2 linked regions of the Cricetulus griseus genome follow. Each later gene encodes a partner of the first gene's protein in a complex. Links are inferred from orthologs where the notes say so. Each region holds a gene or a part of one and is shown on either strand. Other genes may lie near its edges.

What was found.
Region 2: the proteins of Rps6ka3 (region 1) and Bmf are in contact, whole or in part, in a crystal structure (PDB 8R58), measured with the Homo sapiens proteins. The link is inferred for Cricetulus griseus from reciprocal best matches to the Homo sapiens genes RPS6KA3 and BMF. Residues at the interface, in NP_004577.1 of Homo sapiens: Trp252, Phe259, Phe268, Leu281, Ala283, Lys284, Leu285, Gly286, Met287, Pro288, Leu299, Arg300, Phe303, Lys304, Arg305, Asn306, Asn309; in NP_001003940.1 of Homo sapiens: Glu8, Leu10, Glu11, Asp12, Asp13, Val14, Phe15, Gln16, Pro17.

Annotation. Positions count from the first base shown.
Region 1 is NC_048604.1:94,271,615-94,275,425, reverse strand, and holds part of Rps6ka3 (ribosomal protein S6 kinase alpha-3), read right to left. Parts: intron 2,448-3,811; coding exon 2,358-2,447; intron 585-2,357; coding exon 426-584; intron 1-425. UniProt on the Homo sapiens protein: Serine/threonine-protein kinase that acts downstream of ERK (MAPK1/ERK2 and MAPK3/ERK1) signaling and mediates mitogenic and stress-induced activation of the transcription factors CREB1, ETV1/ER81 and NR4A1/NUR77, regulates translation through RPS6 and EIF4B phosphorylation, and mediates cellular proliferation, survival, and differentiation by modulating mTOR signaling and repressing pro-apoptotic function of BAD and DAPK1.
Region 2 is NC_048599.1:59,933,101-59,937,707, reverse strand, and holds the start of Bmf (bcl-2-modifying factor), read right to left. Parts: upstream 2,897-4,607; coding exon 2,774-2,896; intron 2,405-2,773; coding exon 2,275-2,404; intron 313-2,274; coding exon 16-312; intron 1-15. UniProt on the Homo sapiens protein: May play a role in apoptosis. Isoform 1 seems to be the main initiator.

The sequences.
Region 1 (3,811 bases):
GTTTTAGTTCCTAACATCCAGAACATTAATGTTATTTTCCTAATTAACTGATAAAGCATGGGAAAAAGAACACAGATGACTTAGGAAACTGTAAAGCTATCAGTTGTTCAACAAATATTGTCTTATACCGACTTCAAGGTACAGTTCTAGGCAAATTGACTAGCCACAGCCAGAAAGCTATAGATCTAACACCTTCCACTTGCTAGCTTTTAAGGGTAAAGAGCATAACAACTCAATATAGGCATGCTAAGATTTCAAAGTACTTCAGGATCAAAGAAAAATGTTTGTATAAAGGAAAAGCAGTAGGATAATGAAGCTCATTACAGTTTTCCATTACTTTTATAATTTTAATTTTAGCTTGAGTATTAAAAAAGGATATGCATATATAAGTATGTGTGTGCATAAATTATGTTCAAAAGACTTACCCCTTGTGCATGAAGATACTCAACAGTTTTAGTTATAGTAAACAGGACAGCACTGGCCTCTCGCTCTGAGAAAAACTTCTGTCTAAGAATTTTATCCAGCAATTCGCCTCCTTTCATAAGTTCTGTTACTACATACACATATTTTCCATCATCATACACCTATACAATTTAAATAAAAACATAAAAAATGATTTGAAGCTTTATGTATGTCTCTAAATTACTACTTAAACATACTAAAGATTAAGTGAATATATTAAAAGATACAAAAATTGCATGTTCAAGAAAAATTTACTTGTGAAAAACCAATACAGGATTTCTGGAGATTGTGTTAGAGTCATTTATAGTGAGTAGTTTCACATTTAATGAGACTTAGACAACATCATTTATCTAAGAGAAATCATTCTGAGAAAATAAGAGTTTTGACAATATCTAGACAGCCTCTGAGCCTATGTGAGCACCAACAATCGAGAAACCTGACTACTTGAGACAGGGATATTTTTGTCAAAATTCAGTTATAATAAAAACCACAGGAGATAGAGGTACCAGGGCATCCCAGGTAAAAGATACCTCACTTATCCTGGGAGTGGTAATGGACAGGAAAGGCTTCCTGGAAGGAAGCAGCCTGTAGCAGAGTCTTAGTTGTTGCAGTCAACCAGGTAAAAAAGGGAAATGATATTCCCACCGAAAGGTCGACACATTCAAAGAGCACTTGGAGAAAATGAAATACGCATGTTTTAAAAAGTCTACATCCCAAATAAAGCATGGCCAGAACACAGGATGTAGGGGAAGCTGTAGCCATGCCTACTTAGGGGCTGGCTACAGGTGTGCCTGACCATGCTTGTGAGGGCGTGGTCAGGGTGATGTAGAGTGAGACTTTCAGGGGACTGCATTTCTCTTTCAGCTTCACTTTTGTACTTGCTGGACAGACCGCTGCCATGCCGGCTGGCTAGGTCGCTCTGTAAGTAAGGCTTTTCCCTATTAAATACCCTTATATTTCCACTTGGTTCTGTATTGGTAATTTCCCACTATAACAGGATGTGTAAAAAACTATGAAAACTGCTACAGAGGAAGGCAGGTGGGAGGATAGCATAGGGAGCCTTCAGAGACACTCACAAATCTTGAATATTAATATTTATATGTTCAAATTCACATACTATAAGTAATAATGTTAAAATAGTTTTTAAAGAAAAAGCAGAAAATTAGATATTCTTAAAGTTTTATTAATTTTTAAGATTTATTTATATTTTTAATTGCATGTGTATGCATCTGTGTGCACATGTGTGTGTGTGCACATATGAATGTGAGTGTTAGTGCCTATGGAGGCTAGAATCATCATATCCCATGGAGCTGGAATCACGTACGGGTGGTTGGTTGTAAGCCACCTGATGGGTGCTGGGAATCAGACTTAGGTCCTGTGGGAAAGCAACAAGTACTCTTAACCACTGAGCTGTCCCTCTAATATTTTTCTCCAATCTATTTTTTTATATTTACTTTAAGTTAATATATAAAGTAATGGGTTACATTATGAGATTTTCATAAATGCTGTTTTTTTTTAAACTCAATCCTCCTCCTCCAGTATATTCCCTTCTCTGTCCTGCTGGCCCTTTCCTTCCTACTACAAGTCATATCCCCATCCTAAACAACATTCATCAACTCCCAAGGTCATCTTTCTGATTTCATGACCTATAATCCCCACTTTTGTATACCCCCCCCACACACACTAAAAAAAATCTAGGATCTTCATATGAGAAGGACTATGCAGTATTCATCATTCATAGCTCAAGATAATAATTTCTACTTTCATCCATTCGAATTTACTTTCTAAATTGACTATTCTGAAGTGGTCTTTCTCTACCACATAATATTTGAAAAATATCCTAAATATGAGTTTGACAACTGCTTCAAGTGATCTTTGTTAAAGAATCTACTTACATCCTTTAGAGTAATGATGTTTGGATGCTGTCCATAACGAAGAAGAATTTCAATCTCTTCTGTTGGGTCTCTCTTGCTTTTATCAATAATCTAAAATGCAGATATTTATCATAAATATTTTTGAACATGAACCATAAATGTTTAGTTATAGACCTTAGGTATCATCACATGTAAACACTGTACACACAAGCCATTTACCAATCAGTTGTTGTTAAGTACTTACCCAGATTATTTCATTGGAAAGGTAGTCTCCACATAGATGGCTATATAAGGCTAAGCATGTGACACATTCCTACTAGGTCACTTCAAGGTAAGTTTGTAGTAAATTTGGGAATTATTAAAATTCAAAAGCCTCAAGAAAAGTCATCAAGAACAAAGTTACCACATCATTTTTTTCATCCTTGAATTTCTCAAACATTTGAGAATTCAACTTCTAATCACCTATCAATACAGAAAACTAAGAGATAGATGTGTCTCCAATACCACCATTAGCATCTGCTTATTGCACAGAATTTCTTTCTTTTTTCAAGAAATGGTTTCTCTGTGTAGCCCTGGCTGTCCTGAAACTATCTCTGTAGACCAGGTTGGCCTCAAACTCAAGAGAACCACCTGCCTCTGTCTCCTAAGTGCTAGGATTAAAGGCGTGTGCTACCACCATCCAGCTAACTTTACTTCTTTTAATTATCTTAATGGACTATCACATTAGCTGTAAGCTACTTACAAAAATTAAGTAAACAAGCTTATTTCTGAATCTAAGCAGAAAATCTCCGTATAAAACCACCCTAGAATATTAGTTGACTACATTTACTATATAAAGCTCTTTAAAATGTTACCATAGATTTTAACTCTTTTATGTCAGTTGCTTATATTTTTTCTTAATTTTTTAGTATATTGAAGTACTATACAAACATATTTTTAAAATTTAATGTGTATAGGTGTTGTGCCTACATGTGTATATCTATCTGTGTACCACATACATGTCTGGTGACCACTGAGGCCAGAAAGGGTGTTGGAGTCTCCAGAATTGGAGTTACAGATGATTGTGAACTCCCACATGGGTTCCAGGACTCAAACTGGGTCTGCTGGAAGAGTATTAAGTGCTGCCTTTTAAAAAATAATTTTATTTTATATGTGTGTACATGCATGTGCAGGAGCCCTCAGAGATCAAAAGTGGATGTTGGACTACTGTGAGCAACTATGTGGATGCTGGGAAACCCAGGTTTTCTGCAAGAGCAGCATGTGCTCTTAACCCCTAAGCCATCTTTCCAGCCCTAAGTACTATATTTGTAAAAACAATTTGGGCTTTGTTTTATGAGACAGGGTTTCATGGACTCGAGACTGGCTTCAAACTCACTATTTAGCTAAGGATGAAATCCCCCTGACTTCTCCTGCCTCCACTCCCAAGTGCTGGGATGATAGGCATGTGCCACCATACTTTGCTTTAGATTTATTCA
Region 2 (4,607 bases), on another chromosome or scaffold:
GCTAAGAGCACTCACCGTAAAAGAGTCTCTGGGGTTCCTCTGTGACCCCACAAGGCAGCATAACACCCTGGCTTGGGGAGGCTGGGCTGAGGGTCTGGGTGGCCTTGTCTTCCTGGCTTATGGGCCGGAGCCCAGGACCACAGCAGTGAGTGAGAGGAAAGAGCTGAAGCCGACTGAGGGGACAATCCAGCTGGCTCTGGGCAAACAGGTCAGCAGAGAGCAAGCTCCCAGGTTGTGTCCCTGGCTCCCCATCCTCTGGCTGGAACACATCATCTTCCAGCTCCTCCACACACTGAGGTGGCTCCATCTCTCCTGTCAGAAAACAATGGAGGCATCTGGGATGCTTGTCCTACTGAGGCCAGACGAAGAATTCCCTCCCTCCTTCCTTTCCCATTCTTCTTATTTGTGGGAACCAAGCCAGCTTCTGATGATACACAACTCTGGTAATTAAACACTGCCAAGGATGACATTCACCCATAAAGTATGGACCACCCCAATGGTCAGGTTCCTCCATACCTCCTCCCTGCACCCACCAGAGCCACCTTTCCCCATACTCTCTAGCCTAGGCTGGTCACAAAGCTTGGGCACTGAGGTATGTAAGCAAGGGTTAAGATCAGGTGCTATCACAGGGTACCTGGGAAAAGATAAGCAAGACTAACCACACACACACACACACACACACACACACACTGAGGAGGGACCTCCAAGCTTTCCCCTAAGTCTGAGCTGAACTCCAGGCTCAGCAGCAAAAACAAAAGCCAGAAATTGTAGAGCAGCCAGGTTCCCTCCTAACCTGCTAAGCCCTGCCCTACTGCACATCTCCACCCCCCTCCTTGCACAACACAACAAACAGGCTCTGTGGTGTGGTGAGTGTCCTGGAACAGGGGACCTAAGTTAGTCACTCCAGCTGCCTGGCTCAGCTCTCTTCCACTGGAACAGAGCTGTCTGCCCAGCACAGGTTAATTTTGAAGGCTGAATCAGCCTCTAGCAAAGTGTCCTGCTAATTCTACCCACTAATCTCCATGACTTCAAATTTTCATCCACGAAGCCTCCCACTCTTGCCAGAGCTGAACCTGAGATAGGTGCAACGTGCCTCATAGAAGGAAGTGAAATTCAGCCCTCTTGCTGTGCTCTCTCTCACTGCCTACACCGCGGGGGCTGTTTCTTAGTGTTAAGTTCCTCTCGCTCCACCTGACGGCTCATGAAATTCTGCACTTGGAGTCACCCAGCAGCTTGAGCTTCCAAGCATGCCCCGGGGGCAACCAGAATCATAGGCAAGCGCCTGAATGGTCAAGGCAATGCAAAAACAAATTTGGTAATCTTCAGACTCTTCTGACCCACTAGGGTCTTGCCTTTGAAAGACAAGCCAAGTGGTTTGTGGGTTCTTAAAGAAGCCTTTTAAAAGAAAAGCTTTGTCTTTAAAGAAATCTTAGTTAAGTTCGGAGACCTTCCCTCCCCAAATGTGAGCTCTGAGTTTCTTGCCTCATCCGGCACTCCACCTCATCACATCCCTGAGCTATCTGTGGCCTCGTCTCTGCTTTCTTCCCTGGAGATTGATGCCATACATGCCTGCTAGGATGGCAAAGCACATATCTTTGGATATTGTTCCAATTGGTAAGGGGGAACTCCAGCTTATCAGCAACAGAAAAATCAAGTTCCCAGATAAAAGGACCAAGAGCTGTCACCAAGCAGTTCTCCTGTCCTTCATCCCCTTCTCTGCAGGCTGGTAATCCCAACCAAAGTAGGGACCTCCAGAGCCAATCACAAGTAGGAGTCATTGTCTTGGTGTTTCTTTTGATGCCTATCACTCCCCTCCCCCTCCCAGCAAAGCCCCAAAGTTCAACCCTTGCCTAGACTGGACAGTGGGGGAGGTGCAGCCAGAGGGTGTGACTCTGAAAACGCCGAGACCCCCTCCCACTCTGCACACGAACTGCAGGTGGCTCTCCGGTTGGTGTGAGCCTCCGCCTCCAAGAGGTTCTGGGCAAAGACAAACGTAAAATGGGGAAAAGTAGAGACCTTCAGCTTCCCTGAGCTAAAGTGGTAATGTCCAGACTGGTAAGAAGAGGGCACTTCCTGAGAGCACAGCAGAGAACGCTTTATTCCTAGCAAAGGGATTAAAGTCCGCTGGAGCCATCCCAGAGCCTCAGAGCTCCAACTGGGATGCTCAATTAAAACTCCTCCTCTTCTTGGGAGATGGCACTAGCTAGACACCTTGAAGATCGATAGTGGCTAAGATCTCAAAACACACGCGCGCACACACGAGCGCAGACACACCTGGGTGACTCCAGGACAGAGTCTCAGCCTCCGAGTCGTGATGCCAGGGCTCTGCGCCAGGGTCCAGGGTGATGAGCACTCGGGGGGCTTGGCGCCCACACTCGATTGGGAAGGAGGGGGCAAACTCCAGCTGTTAAGAAGAGGACCCTTCAGAGTTCGCAGGGAGGCAAAATGCACCACAACTCACGGCCCCACCCCAGAGTCAGACCCGGAGGCCAGAACGTTCCGAGCGCTTGGCAGTGCACCCCAGGGTCACTTGCCCACCTACTCTCAACTCCAAGTTCCAAATGTTTCCCTAAAGCCCCGCTTGGAACAGCACGCCCAAATTTGTGCTTTGCACCCCGCTCCCACATCCCGGCACCCCAATTCTTCATGGTCACCCCAGATGTCCGCAATCCAAACCCTTCCCGGGCCCCCACGCGCCGCGCGACTCCGCTCCCCACTTCCCGGAGGAGGCACGATCCAACTCCGCCTGGCCCCCGGCCGCCCGGGCGCTCACCGGGCTGCGGCAGGAGGCGGTGGCGCGAGCTGGGGCAGTGGCTGCTGCGGGCGCGAGCTGGCGCGGGAGGAGGCCACGGCGCACCTCGCGGTATTGTTTCCAAAATACGCCCGCTCCGGGCATCCCGCAAACAGCTGATGAGGCCCCGCCCCTCTCGCGTCACTCCAACCATTGACCAATGACAAGTGGAGCTCCAAGTCTCAGGCTGGGTAGCTGCCAGGGACGGTCACTAATGTACAAACCTTCCCTTGGAAACACTATAAGGGGCCGAGCGCATTTCTGACCTTCGCCAGAAGCGTAATTGGAGCGCTGTGTCGGGTGAGGATTCGGTTCCTAAGGCAGGCCCCAGAAGCGCCAGGGAGTCCCTGGGTTCTCCACTAGGTGGGAGGACAGGGCTCCGAAGTGACTTTTGTCTACTTGGAAATGGACTGAATTATTGCGGAGTTTCCAGAAAGCCGGCTCAGAAGGAGGCTGGGAGCTTTCAGCGGCTTGCAACTTGTAGAGGGAAAAAGCTGTTGTCGGTCCCTAGTGAAGGGGGGAGGGCGCCGCCCTCTCGCCTGCTTGGGTGGGTCCGAGGAAAGCTGGAGGAAAACACGTGCATCTGTAACCAAATGACATTTGGATCCAGCAAGTGCAATGAGAGGCCCAGGTCCTCTCTTCTGGACTGGGCAAGAACATGTGCGAAAAAAAGATTCTGGCAGAGGCGAGATCAAGAGGGGCAGCTTGGGCAGCCGACACAACCTGTTGATGGTCGCATCAGAAGACTTCATTGGCCGCTGGGAAAGCAACAAGCATCTCACGTACTATGGTCGACCCAAGGATGACTGCACATTTCTTGAACACCTACTGTGTGCCAGGCACAGGACTAAGTGCCAGACTTCTGGTGCCTGACCTCAGTGAACTTCTACCCCGTTATTTTCGAATAACGGAAAGCAACATGAATGGTGTTCCGTGTAGGGATAATTATGGGTGCAGGAAAATTCAGAATGCAGAGATTTTGAGTCGAGCTTAGAAAAATGAGGAATTTTTCATTAAGTAAAATCCAAATAAAACAGCCCAAGCCCAGAGAAGGCAGGAAGCTAGAATAAAGTACTCTGCTGGAAAGCTTGTCCAAGGAAGCAGGGGCACACCTCTCCAGCAAGCTATCTGGCATCCTCACCATGACTTAGATGTGTAAGTGTGGGCAGGCGGGTTCGGGTCAGACTGCAGAGGTGCGACTGGAAAACCAGGCTGAGGAATCTGTATTTTATAGAGGGCTGGCAGCAAAGGTTTTACAGAAGATGAATTGGGGGGGGGGTGAGGGGAAGACAGGGGAGCACGGAGGAAGGAGGGAGCAGAAGTCAGTGAAAAGAACCAATTCCTGCCACAGCCTACTAGAGCTGTGATAGAGGCAGGCTTGTTTTTTGAGGTAGTGCCTTGTGTGTAGCAGGCTGACTTCACACTCTGTATATAGCCAAAGGTGACCTCCTGATCTTCCTGCCTCGGTCTTCCAAAAGCTGGGATTGCAGGCATGCACCACCATGCCAGGCTTCTTATGCTTTTACTATCTATTATTTCCTTTGTTTCCTCAAAATTCATCTGAAAGAAGTGAAGAATGAAGCAGGCATACAGAGGGCTGTGGTCCATGATTGCTCATGTAAGAAAGTCCTAATCCCAGGCCACAGAGAAGAGGGGAAAGACAGATAAGAGAGTCAAGGTTGACCAGTAGCCCAATCCTACTAGGAGCTGATAGATGTTCAACAAGAGATGCTGTATCAATAGGAGGTACAAAAGGAGGCCAAGTGAGATTGTCAGAGGGTCAGAGTGACCTGGGACCCATGACACATAAGGAGAC